Linked DNA regions of Drosophila melanogaster. Changing the gene in region 1 together with any one later gene gives a genetic interaction. Each region holds a gene or a part of one and is shown on either strand. Other genes may lie near its edges. The genes, in order: Sod1, Sod2, Trxr1 and Adck1.

The links.
Region 2: of Sod1 (region 1) and Sod2, changing one enhances a phenotype caused by changing the other (phenotypic enhancement), as found in Drosophila melanogaster (one study listed by BioGRID).
Region 3: of Sod1 (region 1) and Trxr1, changing one enhances a phenotype caused by changing the other (phenotypic enhancement), as found in Drosophila melanogaster (one study listed by BioGRID).
Region 4: of Sod1 (region 1) and Adck1, changing one suppresses a phenotype caused by changing the other (phenotypic suppression), as found in Drosophila melanogaster (one study listed by BioGRID).

The regions. Positions count from the first base shown.
Region 1 is NT_037436.4:11,111,725-11,115,465, forward strand, and holds Sod1 (superoxide dismutase 1), read right to left. Parts: upstream 2,017-3,741; 5' UTR 1,916-2,016; coding exon 1,850-1,915; intron 1,125-1,849; coding exon 729-1,124; 3' UTR 557-728; downstream 1-556. Other genes in the region: emei, read left to right, coding at 21-140; FoxK (forkhead box K), read right to left, coding at 3,361-3,694. UniProt on the Drosophila melanogaster protein: Destroys radicals which are normally produced within the cells and which are toxic to biological systems.
Region 2 is NT_033778.4:16,772,232-16,775,503, forward strand, and holds Sod2 (superoxide dismutase 2 (Mn)), read right to left. Parts: upstream 1,685-3,272; 5' UTR 1,559-1,684; coding exon 1,524-1,558; intron 1,408-1,523; coding exon 789-1,407; 3' UTR 554-788; downstream 1-553. Other genes in the region: Arp53D (Actin-related protein 53D), read left to right, coding at 2,031-2,118, 2,172-3,272. UniProt on the Drosophila melanogaster protein: Destroys superoxide anion radicals which are normally produced within the cells and which are toxic to biological systems.
Region 3 is NC_004354.4:8,241,841-8,248,564, reverse strand, and holds Trxr1 (thioredoxin reductase 1), read right to left. Parts: upstream 4,984-6,724; 5' UTR 4,837-4,983; coding exon 4,506-4,836; intron 4,377-4,505; exon of another isoform or gene 4,135-4,376; coding exon of another isoform or gene 4,068-4,134; intron 3,178-4,067; exon of another isoform or gene 2,939-3,177; coding exon of another isoform or gene 2,821-2,938; intron 2,472-2,820; coding exon 2,126-2,471; intron 2,056-2,125; coding exon 1,829-2,055; intron 1,758-1,828; coding exon 871-1,757; 3' UTR 532-870; downstream 1-531. Other genes in the region: sni (sniffer), read left to right, coding at 5,489-5,614, 6,309-6,360, 6,422-6,724. UniProt on the Drosophila melanogaster protein: Thioredoxin system is a major player in glutathione metabolism, due to the demonstrated absence of a glutathione reductase.
Region 4 is NT_033778.4:24,609,770-24,614,451, reverse strand, and holds Adck1 (aarF domain containing kinase 1), read right to left. Parts: upstream 2,750-4,682; 5' UTR 2,630-2,749; exon of another isoform or gene 2,608-2,629; intron 2,571-2,607; exon of another isoform or gene 2,286-2,570; 5' UTR 2,278-2,285; coding exon 1,165-2,277; intron 1,102-1,164; coding exon 1,006-1,101; intron 945-1,005; coding exon 597-944; 3' UTR 546-596; downstream 1-545. Other genes in the region: CG4741 (uncharacterized protein), read left to right, coding at 177-419, 481-538, 3,170-3,492; CG42360 (uncharacterized protein), read right to left, coding at 3,951-4,155, 4,215-4,436, 4,497-4,682. UniProt on the Drosophila melanogaster protein: Essential for maintaining mitochondrial cristae formation and mitochondrial function by acting via YME1L to regulate the mitochondrial structural proteins Opa1 and Mitofilin. This function is likely to be kinase-independent.

The DNA.
Region 1 (3,741 bases):
AATCATAATTTCTTTTTCAGGTTTTCTCCACGGAGGTGTACAAGGGTTTCCTGGGCTTTGCCACCTGGTGGAGCTACTTCACCCTATTCGCCACTTCATCGCTGGGCATTGTCTACCAATCATATTTCAACAAGACCTAGGTTCATTTAAATCCCCGTCGTAGTATATGACTTTGTTCTTTTGTAGTGAATTTATACCGCACACGAAATTAATATTAGTTTCTACTCATGTGGCGAGTATCTTGATTTACAATATTTTTTGTAAATAATACTACCTAACTCATTGTTTATAAAGTGTGTTTTAAAGACTTTTAACCAGGCTGCCCGGAGAGTAACCAAAGTAATTACAAAAATAAATAAATAATCTAAAACGGAGATATGTTATCAAAACATGAACGAATGTGTGTCTCATCGTGATTTTTGGGTTCTGCACTCATCTAATATGTAATTCATTTCATACGAATCTATAACCCGATTCTACTTGCGAATTCGTCGAGCAACAAGTGATATATTCATTCTTACCATCTCAACTCAAATGAAAACTATAACTTTTGTTTATGGGGCAATTTCAAAACACCAATTTATTGAACCTCAAAGGTTGCGTATCAACTAACAGACCACAGGCTATGTATTTATGTTTAGAAGTATGTATATCGTTTGTATATCTCCAGTGGGTAGTGCTAAATAGAGTAGATCAGCACAGTGGCCGACATCGGAATAGATTATCGCTTAGACCTTGGCAATGCCAATAACGCCGCACCCGATGCGGGCACCAGCGTTGCCCGTTGACTTGCTCAGCTCGTGTCCACCCTGGCCAAGATCATCGGCATCGGCGTGCACGACAACGGTGCGTCCGATGATGCTGTCGGCGCCGAAGAGCGTAATCTTGGAGTCGGTGATGTTGACCTTGGTGGGGCAGTCGCCGGTGGCCTCAATGTTGCCCAGATCGCCCAGGTGACGATTCTCGTCGACGGGAGCGCCATGCTCCTTGCCATACGGATTGAAGTGCGGTCCGGACGACATGCAGCCATTGGTGTTGTCACCGAACTCGTGCACGTGGAATCCGTGCAGACCCTTGGCCAGGCCGCACACCTCACCGGAGACCTTCACGGGCGTACCGCTGCTCTGTGGACGGGATGAAGGGATTGGGTTATAACGCTTCAGATAATACTCGAATACTGATAAGACACAAGTTGTGTATAATAGTGAGCAGAAGCACTGATTATGATAACGAGCGTGGCCAACTTCATATGATAATAGGTTATTATAGAAAATAACATTTGTTAATAGACACACGTTAAACGGAAATATTTATAGGCAGCAAAGTAAACATTTGGTTATCTTTATAGATTAAAAACATAAATTTCCTCGGCACTGAAACATAACCTGTAATCATCAAGTTTATAATCGTTTACTTGACACTTGACATTGCTGCTTTGACTTTGATGTACAAATTAATTATGAACAGCATCATTCTAATTATTCCCATATTCCTAATGCTTATTCTAAAACAAATATTTGTTGATATTTAACGATACTTTACGAACAAGTGAGCTTTATATCTTAACTCCTTTTTATGTCCAGTACCAATTTCGTGACCTTTGCTGTAGGCACTTGAGCGCACACACATATGCGCATTTTGGTGCGGCTTATATAAATATAAAGGTGCACTTGCTGGGTGACTAGGCGTAAACTCAAATCGGACTTAATTAAAATGCTCGACAGAATTTAAAGCAGCATATTGAAGTGGAAGAGGGGGCCGCGGGTGCAGCCGGCTATTTGACCTTTAGAACTTCTGTTTTTCGTACATTTTGCCGAGCAGAGAAGTTCAAATGATTTTGGATTCTCACCTCCTGTTCGAAGAAAACCGTGCCCTTGGCATCGCCGTTAATTACGCAGACAGCTTTAACCACCATTTCGAATGAATTAATCAATTTATCAAAACGAAAAAAGTTGAGAACTTTCCAGGTATCTTCTATGGTGTGACCGTAGCAGAGCAGCTTAGAAATACATGCGGAACTTTTACTGTTAGTGTTCAGTTGTGCAAAAGTTTCGTTCACACTATTATGCCGTTACTGGAAGCATTTTTTCTTTGTAATATTTCAAGCTCATGTTTTATTGGGACATTTATTTACATTTTTAAGGATAAAAGCTACAAATTACAAAATTTGAAAACGGAACAATTTTACTGCACAAATGGCGTTGAATTTTTTGAGCTGTTCAACGAACGGGTGGTTCACTTGGAAGCCTTCCATTTATTCCAATGACAGTGGCGGGAACTATTCAATTTACTTTGTTTTGTATAAATAAAAAACGAATCCAGGAATTCCCCAATAAATGCCCAGACTTGATTGCGCTCCTGTTGACTAGTATCAACTAGTATTCATTCATCTATCTAATTCAATTAAAGCAGGTAAATATTAACAAATTGAAACAAGAAAGTTTACATTTGATTTTTGTTTTTTTTTTTAATACACAATTTGTCCAAACACTTAAATGGGATTTTCTTCATTAATAAGAAATAATGTGCTATCATTTCAATCTTTATATATTGTTATTGTATCCGTAAATTTGTAGATATTACTTATTTATTTTCATCATTTTTGTTTTTGTTTGTATTTTAATAATTTGTATATATATTAATATAGATATACATATATATATATACACATATATATATATATTATATTTAAATCGATATAGGTAAAGGTATGTAGATAGGTAATATTATTCATTCGCCTGTTTGTTTGTTTGTTTGTTACTTGTGTGGTTTGCTTGCTTGTTACTTAATTTTCCCCAAATTTTTTTTCACGTTTCTCGCACAATTCGGTCACATAGCTATAACATCTTAAACATCATAATCATCAATCATTACAATAATCAATCGCATATATCTAGATAATTTTGCTTTGTTTGCTGCTTTACCTTGTTGTAAACTTAAAATTTATTATATTACTTAGAGAGTAGCGTCATCGAGCATATTGAATTCGTCAGATCTAGGGGATAAAGTCGTTACTTCGAATCGGGTTTTCGAATTTTCAAAATGTGTGCTTGCATAAGTCGCCGCCGTTGAACGGCTGCATGGCCAACATTTCAAACACAATCATCTCACAGTTGCTATTTGTAAAATGTTCCATATCAATTTACATATACATTGCTCTTCGCGTGCGTTCATGTTCCTTAAGTTCTGCGTGTGTGGCTATTTAATTTGATTTGTATTTCGGGGTTTAGGTATAGGTTTTTGATTGGCAAATTCAATATACAAGATGGAGATACTTTTTTGTTTTTGCTTTCTAATCGTTTACACCCATGGGCCTCACTATTTGCCCTTGTTCTGCCGGTGCTTCTGGATCCGCACGCATCAGAGCACTTCCGACACATACTTGGGTCGCTTGGCCACGGTGGCATCGGTGGCAGTGGTGACGCACTCCTCCTCGCTGGCCTCAATGTGGCCGCTGTAGTCGGTCGGCAACTCCTCGTAGATAATCTCTGAATGCTGTTGCTGGGCCACGGCCTGCTGCTGATGCAGCGTATGCTGCGATGCCCCGCCGCCCATCACATGGTTCCTCTTTAGCGCAAGCAGAGCTCCAACCCCGCCGCCTCCGCCGCCGCCGCTCGCTGCGCTTCCTTCCACATGCGTCTGTGGTGTGGCCACTCCAGAGCTTTGATTGGTTACGTAGTACGGACTGCCACTACTGGAAAATACGAAAATAAATGTTTAAGACACGCATTGAATGAATCA
Region 2 (3,272 bases), on another chromosome or scaffold:
TGTGTTTTCTTTGGTAACTTACTTACGTTTAGAAGTTTAGAAGTTAAATTCCTTGATGGGCGTCAACAGTTCTCCTCACACACTCACAATCACAGTTCTTTATTAAATTATTATTGCACTCAAGTGGTTTATTTTGTATGTTTTTCATTCGTCACCGCCCTCAGGAAATTAAATGATTTTCCTTTGTTTCGTACTGGTCTCTCGATTTCAAAACTCCGGGCGATTTTCGAGGATGGCCATTACGCGAACAGGCAACAAACGACTCTGCCAGCGGCTGGCCATTTGTTCCACCATTCGGATACGCGTGCTGGAAAATTGTTTGCAGCTGCGCGCACGCAAGTTCGGGAAAACTCGGTGGAAATGTCAATTTTCCTCCCCCGATTTCGCGGCAGGCTGACTTTTGTTTTGTTTTTGTTTGGCTCGCGCACAGCTGATTTGCTAGAGATGGCACCATGGGCGGCAGTGTTGTAAAACATTTACAGTATTTGCGATATTTTAATTTAATATAAAAATTAATTTTTTTGGAGCGTAATAAAATTGATAAAAATAAAAAATATGAATAGGTATATGTATATTTTTTAATTCCTCAATGAAGTAATAGTTTCAATACGCCTTTGTGAAGCGTTATCTTCGGAAATTATGTTTTAAATTGTTTTATTCCCATTCATAAAAATTATAAAAATTAGTTGCTAGCTGGTACCAATTTATTAGCCGCAACTTAGACTACAATTTAGGATCTCCGATCCGCAGATGCTTATAGATTAAACATACGCAATCGCCGGCTGTGCTTAGCAACCGAGCTTCTTGGCCTCCTGGAAGCGGCACGAGATGTCATCCCAGTTGGCGATGTCCCAGATGGCCTCCACGTAGGAGGGACGCACGTTCTTGTACTGCAGATAGTAGGCGTGCTCCCAGACATCGATGCCGAAGAGCGGGATCAGGCCGGTGGAGGCCTCCAGGGGATCCTGGTTGGGCAGGGCGGCCAGTTGCAGTTTGCCCGACTTCTTGTTGAAGCCCAGCCAGCCCCAGCCGGAGCCCTGGACCGCCACGGTCAGCGTGGTCAGCTCCTTTTTGAACTCCTCGAGGCTCTTCCACTGCGACTCGATGGCCTTCTTCAGATCATCGCTGGGCTGGGTCTTGTTGGGCGAGAGGTTCTGCCAGAAGATGGTGTGGTTGATGTGGCCACCGCCATTGAAACGCAGGGCAGGAGCCAGCTGAATCAGCTTGGTGGTGTCGCTCTTCGACTTGGCCTCCTCCAGCTGCTCCTCGGCGGCATTTAGATTGTTGACGTAGGTCTGGTGGTGCTTCTGGTGATGCAGCTCCATGATCTCCCGGCAGATGATAGGCTCCAGGGCGGCATAGTCGTAGGGCAGCTTCGGTAGGGTGTGCTTGCCACGCACCGCCAGGCTGCAAAGGGTTAAGTGTGTCTTGTTTTATAATGTCCTCAAGATCAGGGTCGCCATTTGTTGCTATTTATGTAATCAGCCGGCATCGATTTGGGCATACTTTTTTTCGCAACTTACCTTGCAGTTTGCGAAATTTTACGGGCCACGAACATATCTGCGTTTTATTCGACTGCTAATAAGGCTAAGTCCCGATATCAGATTTTATATCAAATAAAACAAGGCTTACGTTCTCGTTATTTCGCTTGTTCTATTTGAACAATTTACTGCTAGAGATGAGCAGATGAGAAAATATCGAAAGACCCCAATCAGTCAGTGATGTGAGATCAACTTATATATATTGAAGTTAAATAGTAAAACTAAAAGAAATTAAAAACTATTTTTAATTGAAACATTGCACTGAAACATATTCAAATCATATTGAGGATTTCTTAAATATTTCTTATGTTTAAATACTACTTTAGTGACTATTAGCATATTTTAGCTGCTTACGTATCGACTGCATCCATTCGATTGATACTTGAATTAATCGATTTTTGGCCTCTGTATGTCATGGCGCTAAATTGGAAATAAACCATGAAATTAACGTCATAAGTTTAAAAATCCGACTGGAACACAGCACACAACATGTCTACATTTCAAATACCTTCCCGAATCAAAATCGATATAACAAATAAACGGGCACAGAACATTCTTCACAAATATCTACATTTACGTAAGTTGCTTAAATAAGCTAAAGATTTTATGATTTGACCATGATTCGTTCAGCAACCTCTCCTGGAAACATGAGCAGCGAGGTAGATAGTAATTCACACCACGCCGCAGTGGTTATTGACAACGGCTCTGGAGTATGTAAGGCTGGATTCTCCCCAGAAGATACTCCCCGTGCTGTCTTCCCGTCGATTGTGGGCAGACCTCGTCACCTGAACGTCCTGCTGGATTCCGTGATCGGTGATAGTGTTATTGGCGAGGCGGCAGCCCGAAAAAGGGGAATACTAACCCTAAAGTATCCCATCGAGCACGGAATGGTCAAGAACTGGGATGAAATGGAGATGGTTTGGCAGCACACGTACGAGCTCTTGCGGGCGGATCCAATGGATTTGCCGGCTCTACTCACCGAAGCCCCACTGAATCCGAAGAAGAATAGAGAGAAGATGACAGAGATTATGTTCGAACACTTTCAGGTGCCAGCTTTTTATGTAGCAGTTCAGGCTGTGCTCTCACTTTACGCCACCGGGCGTACTGTGGGCATTGTGGTGGACTCGGGTGATGGTGTGACGCACACGGTACCGATCTACGAAGGATTTGCCCTGCCCCACGCCTGTGTACGAGTTGATCTGGCCGGCAGGGACCTCACCGATTATCTATGCAAGCTGCTTCTGGAGAGGGGCGTTACAATGGGCACCTCTGCTGAACGGGAAATCGTGCGTGAAATCAAGGAGAAACTCTGCTATGTGTCAATGAACTATGCCAAGGAAATGGATCTCCACGGAAAGGTGGAAACCTATGAGCTGCCAGATGGGCAGAAAATCGTTTTGGGCTGCGAGAGATTCCGCTGCCCGGAGGCTCTCTTCCAACCCAGTTTGCTGGGTCAGGAGGTGATGGGCATCCACGAGGCCACCCATCACTCGATAACCAACTGCGACATGGATCTGCGAAAGGATATGTATGCGAACATTGTTCTCTCTGGCGGTACGACCATGTTTCGTAACATCGAGCATAGATTCCTGCAAGACCTAACCGAAATGGCTCCACCATCCATCCGAATCAAGGTTAACGCTAGTCCAGACCGCAGATTCTCCGTTTGGACGGGTGGTTCCGTCTTGGCCTCACTCACGAGCTTCCAAAACATGTGGATCGACAGCTTGG
Region 3 (6,724 bases), on another chromosome or scaffold:
ATAGCCATCTCGCTTTGTTTCGTGGCATCCAATCGGAGATACCACCTCGAAAGTGTTCCATACATACATATATGATTAATGCTAATTCCTTATAGAAGCTATTGAATTCTCTTTGCTGTTCATTAATTGATTGCATCAATTTACTGTCTTAATTTGATTTTGATTTGCTTGCGAGGATTCCTTAGGTCATAAACTTCAACCTTTTCGTAGCTTCTATTACACTTTATCACGCACTGTTTTTCCTTTGAAAACTAAAGTATAATTTATTACCCACTGATATATGTATCTCCAGGGTGCCATCGTTCGTAGCTGATTTATAGCCCTCGAGGGCAAAGATTCCCCTAGCAATGGCATTAGCAATTAGTCGGGTGGCTAACAAGTTGTCAGGCTGGCAGACAGAATCGATTTAGCCAGGTCAAGTCAAGCCATTTGCATGGCTAATGAACTTACTTGATTGAAAAGGCAGAGGAAGGGCTAAAGGTCGAGGTATGTTTTAAAGGAAATGCACAGAACTGAAACACAGAGGGGTTTGTTGGTGAAAAATTATATTCTTCAACCGTACATTTAGGGGATTTCATAGTTAATTTCATAGGTTCAAACAAATTCAAAATTTTGAGTGCATGTCGGCGGCGCAGCAGTCGTGGGTTGGGCTGGTCGCGCGGGTAGTTCCACTGGTGTCGTTCCACCCGCCATCGCTGCCCAGTGCCCCTCCCTTGCGCAGAGCTATTGTGTTGGGTGTTAATTGTGGAAACGAAACGGAACTATTGAACTCATCGATCGCTGGGCCGCGACAACAACCATTCATCTACGGGATTTCGGGTGGAGCAAGCGGCTTCGACACGTCCCAGGCGGCTGAGCTGCGTTCCCGCTTTAGCTGCAGCAGCTGGCCGGCGTGGGGTCCAGTCCGGAGCGCTTGGTGATGGCCAGCCGGGTGAATTCTTCGGCGGTAGTGGGATGGATGCCCACGGTGTTGATCAGCGTGTTAATAGTCAGGCCAGACTTCAAAGCGGCAGCGAATCCCTGGATAACCTCACCGGCCACCGGGCCAATATAGTGCAGTCCATAGACGCGCTGGTCACCATGGCGCTCGGCCACAGCCTTCAAGTAGCAGTAGCGCACGCTCTTCTGGGGAATGAAGAACTCCGTGGGCTTGTAGTAGCCGTGGAACACCTCGATCTCATCGGCTCCGAACTGCTTGACGGCATCCTCCTCGCTCAGGCCGACGCAGGCGTACTCCAGGGGCGTGAAAACGGTGGTGGCCACATCCTTGTAGTCCATGCGCTGGGTAGATCCTCCGTACAGGCGGCGGGCCAGCAAACGGCCAGCCAAAACGGCGACGGGCGTCAGCTCTGGCTTGCCATAGATGATATCGCCGACAGCGTAGATGTTTGCCACATTGGTAGCCTCCTGGGAGTCCACTGGAATCTTGTCCTTCTGCACAGTCACGCCGGCATTGGGCAGGTTCAGATCGTCCACCAGACCCTTGCGGCCGATGGCCCACAGAACGGTGTCGTAAACATCCTCGGCCTCCTCGCCGGTCTCCACGTTCTTGTACTTCACGAGCAGCTTGCCATCATCCTGCTTTTCCACGGACAGCGGCACCGTCTTGCGGAGGAAGGGAATGCCACGCTCCTCCATCGAGGCTGCCACCAGCTCGGCCATCTGCTGGTCGAAGCCACGCAGCACAATAGAACGCACCATCACAGTGGGCTCGTAGCCGAGACCCTTCAGGAATCCAGCGCACTCCAAGCCAATGTCTGAGTGAAAGAGCAGAAACCGAATGGGTTATTCATCAATTTGATGTAAGCAAATGAAAGTAGCTACTTACAGCCAGCTCCCACCACCAGGGTCTTGCCGGGCTCGCGGTCCAAACTGAACAGATCATCGCTGGTGATGCCATACTCGACAGCACCGGGAATATCCGGATAACGTGGTCGGCCGCCAACGGCAATGACGAAGGTCTGGGCGGTGATTGTGCGCTCGCCGCTCTTCAGCTTGGCCAGCAGTGTGTGCGAGTCCACGAAGGAGCCCAGTCCATTGATGTACTCCACTTTCCTGAGCGCAAATAGAAGGGTATAATTAGTGGGGATGCTCGAGCGGAAGCCATAGATATAGTCACACTTACTTGTCGCGCAGATCCACACGGGTCACCCAGTTGACGGACTTGATGTGGTTCTGTACGGACTGCACCAGCTTGTGCCAGTCTGGCTTGATCTTTTCGTCCACGTTCCAGCCGTAGGCGGCCGCCTCATGGACAGCCTCGCCCAGAAGGGAGGCCTGGTGCATCAGCTTCTTGGGAATGCAGCCCACGTTCACGCAGGTGCCGCCAACGCCCCACTTGGTGCCCAGAGTGGGCGTGGGCTTAACGAAATCCAGACAGGCCACACGGGCTCCATTGAGGACTGCCTCCTTGGCGCAGGCCAGGCCAGCTGAGCCGCCTCCAATCACAATAAGGTCGTAGTCGTAGGATCCTGCAGGAGAAAAAAGGTTTTCGTTTGATTCATCGCCTTTTGTCTATAGAAATATGTAATCTACTGCCAAAATTGGGCTTAAAGAGGTCAAGAGGTCACAGAACATGAGGAGCCGTCAGGAAATCTAATCGTAGCACAGCCAATTCACCTTGTATTATTAAAAACTTATCACCGTTAGTAACATCAATAGCCATGTTGTATTGGCATGGTCTGTTTTTGTTCTTAACCAGTATCTAGATTAGTTGAAAATCCTTATCAGTGATAGGTAATGATATCAATTAGCCATGTGGTGCCAACTACTCAAGTTTCTCTTTAGCTTCACTCATGATTATGGCTAATCCCCGCCTGCCTTTGGTGGACTCCTCGCGCAGTCGTATGTCCAGATAGGCGGATCGGTAGATGCTCCTCCGGTGGCGTGGTTCACCCTCGACCAACTGGGAAGCCGGTATGAATTCGAACAGATGCATCCAGACCAAAGAAGTGCGGAACGAAGACTGTTTGGCCTCCTGCAATCCGTAATCTGCACCGTGCAATCCCGTCGAGCTCCTTGGCTTCAGTTGCCAGGTAGCGATAGTGCTGCCGAATGCCACACATGCCACTGGGTCAGTGGGAGTTCGAATCAAAGTGGAGCAATCATCTAGCGACATCGCCACACACCAAGCCACGCCCATCCCAGCCCGGCCACGCCTTTCTTCCGTCCGTCCACCTACGCCCCCCCATTCGGTTTGCTTTGACCCGCCGGACTTTGTCATGGTTACGCCCCAAAACTAGTTGGCAACACCACACACAATTCGCTTTTATCGGACGGAATGCTAATCCTGGCCAGGAACAGGGGGAAATCAGGTGGCTACGTACGAATGCGAGTGCAAATAAACAATTGTTGTCGTCACACTGCAATTAATTGCGGAATGAAGTGGTGATGACGCAGCTCAGCAATGATGATGAAAGATCAAAGACGATGGCGGGCGCTCGTTGAGCGACGGATACGAGAGATACGAAATAGAAAACACAGATAAAGGGAATAAATGCACCCGACTGATATGGTGAAATCATCATCATCATCATCATAAAGCGATTCTCGAACATTCCGCAAAGGGTTATTCGTTCAAGAGCACCGCATTCGACAAAAATCACACATATCACGTTGGTGCTTTAAGAAATCCTATTATACCCTTAATTACCATTTGAAATCAGAATATGGCATATATTTATAAGTAAATTCTTCTATTGTTTTCGGAATTAGAAGCTTCGTATCTGCTCGATTGGCTAATTATTCATTTAACAAGAAAACTTGATCGTGGCATGTGGGATTTATATTATATTACAAATTAAAACATCAAATACGTTTAACTTCATATAAATAGATATTAGTTTTTTTTTACCAGCTAAAGGCAAAATGGCAATACAAGTGACTTGTATGAATGTAATTTAACAAATATTATTAATTCGTTAAGTCATATGATGTAATTCTTTTTTGAGGCAAATAACTGATATTGTTTAAGCTGCAATTGAGTAATGGTTTTATGAGCAATCCATAATTCAATTAAAAAAATTCGACTGACATAGTATTTATACGCGATTCAGAACTTTGTTGACCATTATACTTAGAGGATGTGCTCTTTTTGGCGCCCACAACGATGGCGCAAATCATGTACTTCAGCATGATACGAGTTTCGAGTGCTGTTCGCGCGACCCCGACTGTACAATTCCAGTTGGAGCGGGTGCGCGATGACGATTGACGATGACGGTGCAAATGTGAGACAGCAAATGCCGGGCAGGCATATAAACCCTTGGCGAATACGTGCCGCAGAAACCCGATAAGCCAGGTAATAAGAGCAGAGTAATGGACTTTTTGGCCAGGCAACTAACGGTTATTGCATAATGGCGTCGGTTAAACACAAGAAGACCCAGAAAAAACAACAAGCAAGAAAACCGCGACAATCGACCGCGTTGCCAACCGGCGGCAACAGGAGCAGCAGCTGCGGCGGCAACAGCAAAGATCTAATCAGAATATCAATCGATATCGATGCTCACCTCCTTTGGTGCTCATCTTTCGCACCGGTTGCGCGTACATGGCCGCCCTGTCGCAATGTGGATGCTGGAAGGGTGGTGGTGCGCCGGCACCGGATCCGGCTGGAGCATTCCCACCGGTAGCTCCAGTACTGTCGCGTGATCCTCGCTGTCCCGTCAAGTTCATAGTTCGCTGAAACGTGTGATGGGCACAGCTGAGACTACTGGAAATCCAATGGGGAACCTTTGTTGTCAGTGAGCCTCTGTTTTGTATAATGCCAGCCGAAGGAGACGTTAAAATCGTCGAGCACTGCCGCACGAACGTAACGGAGAATCTCGAATTGCACAAGTTCATCTTGTTGGCCTTTCCCCTTCTTCAACGTTTGGCGTTTCACTCTACCAGCTGGAGGCGAAACGAAACTATTCGCGAAAAGGGTGCAGAAAAATGACGGCGGAACACACAACACAAACACGTTCGCTGGTTCGGCCGGGAATGCTGCGAAAGCGGTGGGCAGGCAGAGGCGCCGATAAACGGCTACGTAACAGAAGCAGCGAGAAAGAGAGAGGGCGCAAGAGCGCGTACCGCAAAAACGAGAATGTTTGGGATAAAATGGATTTGCCATAAAGGAGCATCCATTGGATTGCGAAATTCCATTTGGGATTTGAACATCACAACAGTTGTTCTGCCCTTTGCCAATTGGAAATGTGCGAAACGCACGTTTGGCAATGCGCAAGTGTATCGATAACTCGCGGATGGTTGGTAACACTGCTGCTGTCCGAACGAAACAGCCGGCCGTCAAAATTTTTCCTAACATTTCACTATTTTCACGCTTGTGTTACGGCAATAAAGTCGATTGATAAGCACGGAAAGATCTGGCTGCGGGTCTGGTGAAATCCACAGAACACACGGAACCCGTATAGTAGTGCCGCCCTTTATTGGTTTTATCTCAAGTACGACGCGATAAGATTTCGAGCAACTCGATCGCGGATCTTCGGAAAAAAAAAACATGAACTCCATCCTGATAACCGGCTGCAATCGAGGATTGGGTCTGGGCCTGGTCAAGGCGCTGCTCAATCTTCCCCAGCCGCCGCAGCATCTATTTACCACCTGCCGGAATCGCGAGCAGGCAAAGGTGAGAGATGTTTTCTTCTTATTTTGCGTTGTCTCTCTACTAAGACAATCCAGTAATCCAACAAAACCGGTGACTCACAACCGTCGAGCTACAGAAACTACAGAAGCTACGCGAACAATCCACAAGAGCCACTATTTCTACAAACCGCTTTTTAATCGTCCAAATGGGCATGCATAAATTGAATGGTTCAATTGGAATCGAATTAACTGTGAAACTCACCTTGCACGGGCGCCATTATTTTGTTGCTTGTTGGTAGGTGCTCCACGTAAATCAGACAGAAAACAAGGATCAACGGCGGGTAGTGAATGTTGTTGTAGTCGAAGCGGAAATGTAAAAACTGCTAAGCGTGTATTGTAGCGGCTCTCGGCACTCGCGAAAGCACGAAACGAATAAGCGGAGCCAACTTTTGCAATAGCTTTTGTACTTTCGTACGAGCGTGCGAAAGGGAGACGTCGATTGGCTTGTCGATTGCTGGGCCGACTATTGTTCGGTCACACCAGCAGCACTTATCGTCTATCGGTTATTATGGCACTAACGCGCTCGTTGGGCGCGCTATTTAAACTCTCATGAAATACCAAATTTGCCTCTAAAAATTACAGTAATTTAACTGGAAAATTATTCATATATAAACTGCTTTTTTACTAATAATGTGCTTCTTATTCAAACATTTTGTCTTTCCCAATTTGGCCCACAGGAGCTGGAGGATCTAGCCAAGAACCACTCGAACATACACATACTTGAGATTGGTAAGCATTATGTTTTACCAGCCGCTAAACACTCTCGCATATAAATATATTTTCCGTGCAGATTTGAGAAATTTCGATGCCTATGACAAGCTAGTCGCCGACATCGAGGGCGTGACCAAGGACCAAGGCCTCAATGTGCTCTTCAACAATGCCGGCATAGCGCCCAAATCGGCCAGGATAACGGCCGTTCGATCGCAGGAGCTGCTCGACACCTTGCAGACCAACACGGTTGTGCCCATCATGCTGGCCAAGGCGTGTCTGCCGCTCCTTAAGAAGGCAGCCAAAGCGAACGAATCCCAGCCGATGGGCGTGGGCCGTGCCGCCATTATTAACATGTCCTCGATCCTTGGCTCCATCCAGGGCA
Region 4 (4,682 bases), on another chromosome or scaffold:
ATTACAAAGCAAATATGTGCGTTCTTCGCTGTCAGCCCCGAGTCTGACCCATGCCCGGATGTCCTATCAATTCGGTGGCCAGTAGTTCAGGTTAGTCGGCTCTGTCTGTTCGTCAGAGAACTGCTGTCTTCGAGACATTTTTCAGTTCCAATCAGGAATTAACACCCGAGTTCAACATGGCCCCTGCCATAAACGCGACGGTCAGCACCCCTTTTGACTCCACCACGGTGGCCAACGGAACACTTAACACCACTGAAAGTACGACATCGGATTGGGAATACGTTAACACCACTTCCGTCACAATTTGGATCAACGGTGGCGGCTACGATGGTCCATACATGTTATTTTATCCCAGCTATGTCATTTACATTGTGCTGGTCTTCCTCTTCGTCATCGCCTTTCCTCTGGCCATGATTATGGTAAGCCCATTCGGAATGGGACACTACCTGCTCCTGCTAATGATTCACTCTCTCCCCGAAGAGCGCCAAACGCAAGCGAGAGACCAATGTGCGGAATCTGGCCCAGCAGAGACAACGAGGTAATTTCCCTTTCCTCGTGAAGAGTTTTGTACTTTTAATTGGGGGACACCGTTTAGTCTAAATAACCTGCTTGAGAGCTTCAAGGAAACCAAAATTAATCAGTCCCAGGTAGAGGTAGTAGCAGTTGAGCTTGAAAAGCTCCCATCGCTCGCGCACCCGCAGCCACAGGATTCGCGAGGATCCGGAATCAGACTGCTTGGCTCGCTGTTCAGCGTACGAAGATTGAACACAGCACTTGGACATAACCCAGAAGGCGGTCATCCGGTTCTGCGTGCGCAGCGTGGACTCAATTCCGCGGATCAAGTCATTTGTCTTCAGAATGAGCAGCATCTGACGGTCCACCTGCTCCAATACGTCGGAAATGTGCGGCAGCACCAGGGACGTGTTGTTTTGCAGCGTGTTCTTCTGCAGAATCAAAGCATATACTACGAGTAATTGAAGAGAAGAATTTCCGGCACGAACTTACCTCTTCTTTGGAATATTTGACTTTGGTCAGGCCCTGCATCACCGTCTCCCAAGGTCGTCCCGTCACCATGCATGCGAAAAGACCGTACAGATCGCCCTGGATTGAAGGTTTAGAAGGTTAGAAGGTTTAGGTTCAAATCCACCTCCCAAGCGAAAATACCTTAATTCCCAGCTGCTCACTGTGTTGTCGCATCGCTTTGCGGTCCACCTTAAGGATACTCAGCCAGAGATTGGAATAATCGTACCGAAACTTGTCCGTCAGATTTGCATACAGCCCGTGATCCAGCAGAACTATCTCCAGACTGTTTTCCGGCGTGCGTCTTACCAAGATGTTTCCTGGATGCGGATCGCTGTGCACGAAACCGGTGCGGAAGATCATCTCGGAGTAGAGCTGCCCAATGCGATTGGCCACCGCAAATGAGTCAATTTTGTTTCGCCGTATGTAGTCCAAGTCCGTGACATGCCCACCCTCCAGGTACTCCATGACTAGGACTCGAGAAGAGCTATATTTCCAGTATATCTTGGGCACCCGAAGCCACGAGTACTTCTTGAACTGCTTGGCTACTTTCTCGGCGTTACGTCCCTCGTTTAGGAAATCGAGTTCGATTGGCAAGTTCTTTTTAGACTCCTCAACCAGCCAGTGGATCTTGAAGTCGGGAAATATCCGAGCCAGCACATTAACGGCCAGTTCCATGGTCTTCATGTCAACGCGGGAGTTACCCTTAACGTAGGGATGTTGCACCTTCACGGCCACCAGCTCGCCGGTCTTGAGGCGCGCCTTATGTACCTGGGCAAGGGAAGCAGTTCCCAGCGGCTCCCTCTCGAAGCTGTCGAAGATTTCTTCCGGATTGCAGTGCAGATCCTGTCGGATTACCTTATACAGGTCCTCAATGGGGTTTTGCGGCGCATCGGAGTGAAGTACCTTCATGGTCTGCACAAACTCCTTGGGTAGCAGGTACTCCAAGGCCCCTATGTGCTGGCCCACCTTGATGTAGACACCCTTGTTTATGCAGATCAGCTGAAGTAGCTTCTCGGCGGCTATCTTGTGGACCCGGCTCTTTTCCGCCTTGTACTCGGGCGTCTCCTTATCCCATTCCTTGTAGTAAAGTTCCCGCTTGTAGGTGAGTGCCACGTCCACGACGGCGGCGGCGGATCGCGACAGCCGGACGATTCCGAGTGAGTTGGGATCGTAGTCGTTGGTGTGCAGGCTCCAGCCGGCGGAGGCCAGTCCGGCGCCGACTACTCCGTAGCCCAGAACGCGACGCAACAGCATTCCTCCGGCTGCAAAATGAAGAGCGTTTAGTCCGGTGTGCAAAAACAACAGGTGTCAATGCCGATTAACCTTTGGGCTTTCACCTAAATTAAGCGCGTAGTTTTACGCGGAACCAAGGCACTGAGGCACTTTGAACTTTGCCCTCCGCTAACTGATTTTTGGCGAATACAGCCCACTTAACCTGTTGCATCTCCGCCAGCATTTTCATTTACATTTTTCCCATTTACATTTTCCAGCGCTCACATGTAGCTAAACTTTCACCTCAGTAATTTCGTCTGCGCCATTATGTAAACACAACTGACTGAAGGTGAGTCGCGGCTCGCTCGGAATGACTGCCAATAGTTTCACTTACTCGATATGGTGCACTACAGATAGCGCCGGAGTTCAACGGCGCGTAGGTGTTGAAATTCCAAAGTCTGTGATTAAATTGATGCGCTTCCACTTCTGTGGTGGCCTTAGTTGGCGCAATCAGCTGTTGGCCTGGCGTCAGAGCAGCTGACCCAATAGCAGAGCTCAAGGGCGTAGTTGTTTTGGCATAAGGGGGTTGAGTGCTCTTACCATAATATAACGGCTTTTTAATCAGCATGAAAAACGTTATTATAAATGTCGTTTAAAATAAAGAACGACTCGAACAGTATGTTGAAAGTCATTAGTGAGACCCGACCCCCCTGTGGAAGGCTGGTTGCTTTTTCTGCTTTAAAAGCGGGTAACATTTAACGGTTAACAGAACATGTTACGCTATATATAAAGGAATACCAATATTAGCAGGTATCGGTTAACAGAACGCAGCGATTTAGACGTATATTTAAAAGATATAGTTGCTAACTTCCGTTTTTAAAGAGATTCTCTGAGGTTTCCTTGTCCACTACGATTTAAATCTCTTTTTTCGCAGCCCGTCGCCAAATGGAGATCAATGTGACGAACAATTGCAACGGCGGCTCCGGAGGAGTCGGAAACGTGTGCTCAAACAGCCAGAACGAAGTTAGTGTCCTGCCCAAGACCTTGGATTTGCCGCCCAGCTACGACGAGGCCGCTTTTAGCGAGCGAAAGCAGGACAGCACACTGACCATAGCCACCAGCTTGGAAGCGAGCAATCCCAATTTGGCGGTTGGAATTAACGAACCACCGCCGGTTTACGAGGCGAACGTGGCCACAACCACCACTTCCACCACCACCACCGTATTTTTGGTCAACGGCCAACCACCAGTGGTGTAACAAAGCATTGGACTTCTGAGAAATAGTAAATCTATTATTATTTATACACTAAACAAGACACTGTACAGCTTTGCCTTTGTAAATAAATCTTGCTCCTCGGCAACTCTTTAATTTTGCATAACTTATAAACCCCATTGGAGTAAATAAATAAATAAACGTATAGTGCATATTAAAAAATTTTTCTGGTCGAAAATTATATGTAAATAATGAACTTCGTAATTTTGCAAGATTTTTAAAATAGTAGGCATATGAAAACCCTTCTGGTCGAAAACTATATGCTATATGCTAATAAAATGAGTAAACGCTGCGTATTAACTCTTCAGTATTGACCAACTTAACGCTAATTGTAAAGGAAAAGAAAGTTGAATAATTCGCAACCAAACTAAATGAAAACTACTAACTTAAGATATAACACGAAACTAAAGAATAATTTGAAAACAAATATATGGCTAGGTGCATTAGCACCTCAAAATTTCGTCGAGGGTAGGTCCCCAGCGGCCGTAAGGATCCTTGGGTAAAATGAATATGTTGTCGCACCAGGAGTAACCAAGAACTCGATTCTCAACGATCAATTTAAATGCAGGATTTTCATTAATCAGGTCTCTGTAGTTGTCGTTGGAAACCACGGCGGCATTCTTTTCGTATGCCAGCTGCAAAATGAAACTGAAAAAAAAAATTATGCATTTCCATTTCTAAATAGAAGTTTTTTCTAAGGAGCTCACCGATCATCGTAGCTAGACGTAATTTGACCGGGAATGTTTTTGCACGGCGTAAACACAATCTTCCCTTCCTTGTGCAGCTTATCGAGAAGCTCGGGATTCGAAGACTTGAAGTTGTTTTTCCGGAACATTGGAACCACAGCCTTAACTTCGTGACCCATTTTCTCAAAATACTGCAAGCAATACTTTATTCCCTCTGATGAAAACACGTTTGAGTTGCCATGACTGTCAAATGAAAATGAAATAAATAGTCCGTCTAGAGTTAGCTTTAAGCAGAGAACTTACGCAAAGGCGACATTGCTACCATCGATGATAACAAACCTCTTATTCGTTTTCGGCTTATTACTCGCCTCTCCTGCTTCCTCCGTGGGATTAAATGTGTTGGTGTTATAGTCTCCGAGCTTCTTCTTTTCTTCAGTGGTGAAGAAGCTGTCATTCATTCGAGCAGTCTTCTTATTGGGCGTTTTCGCA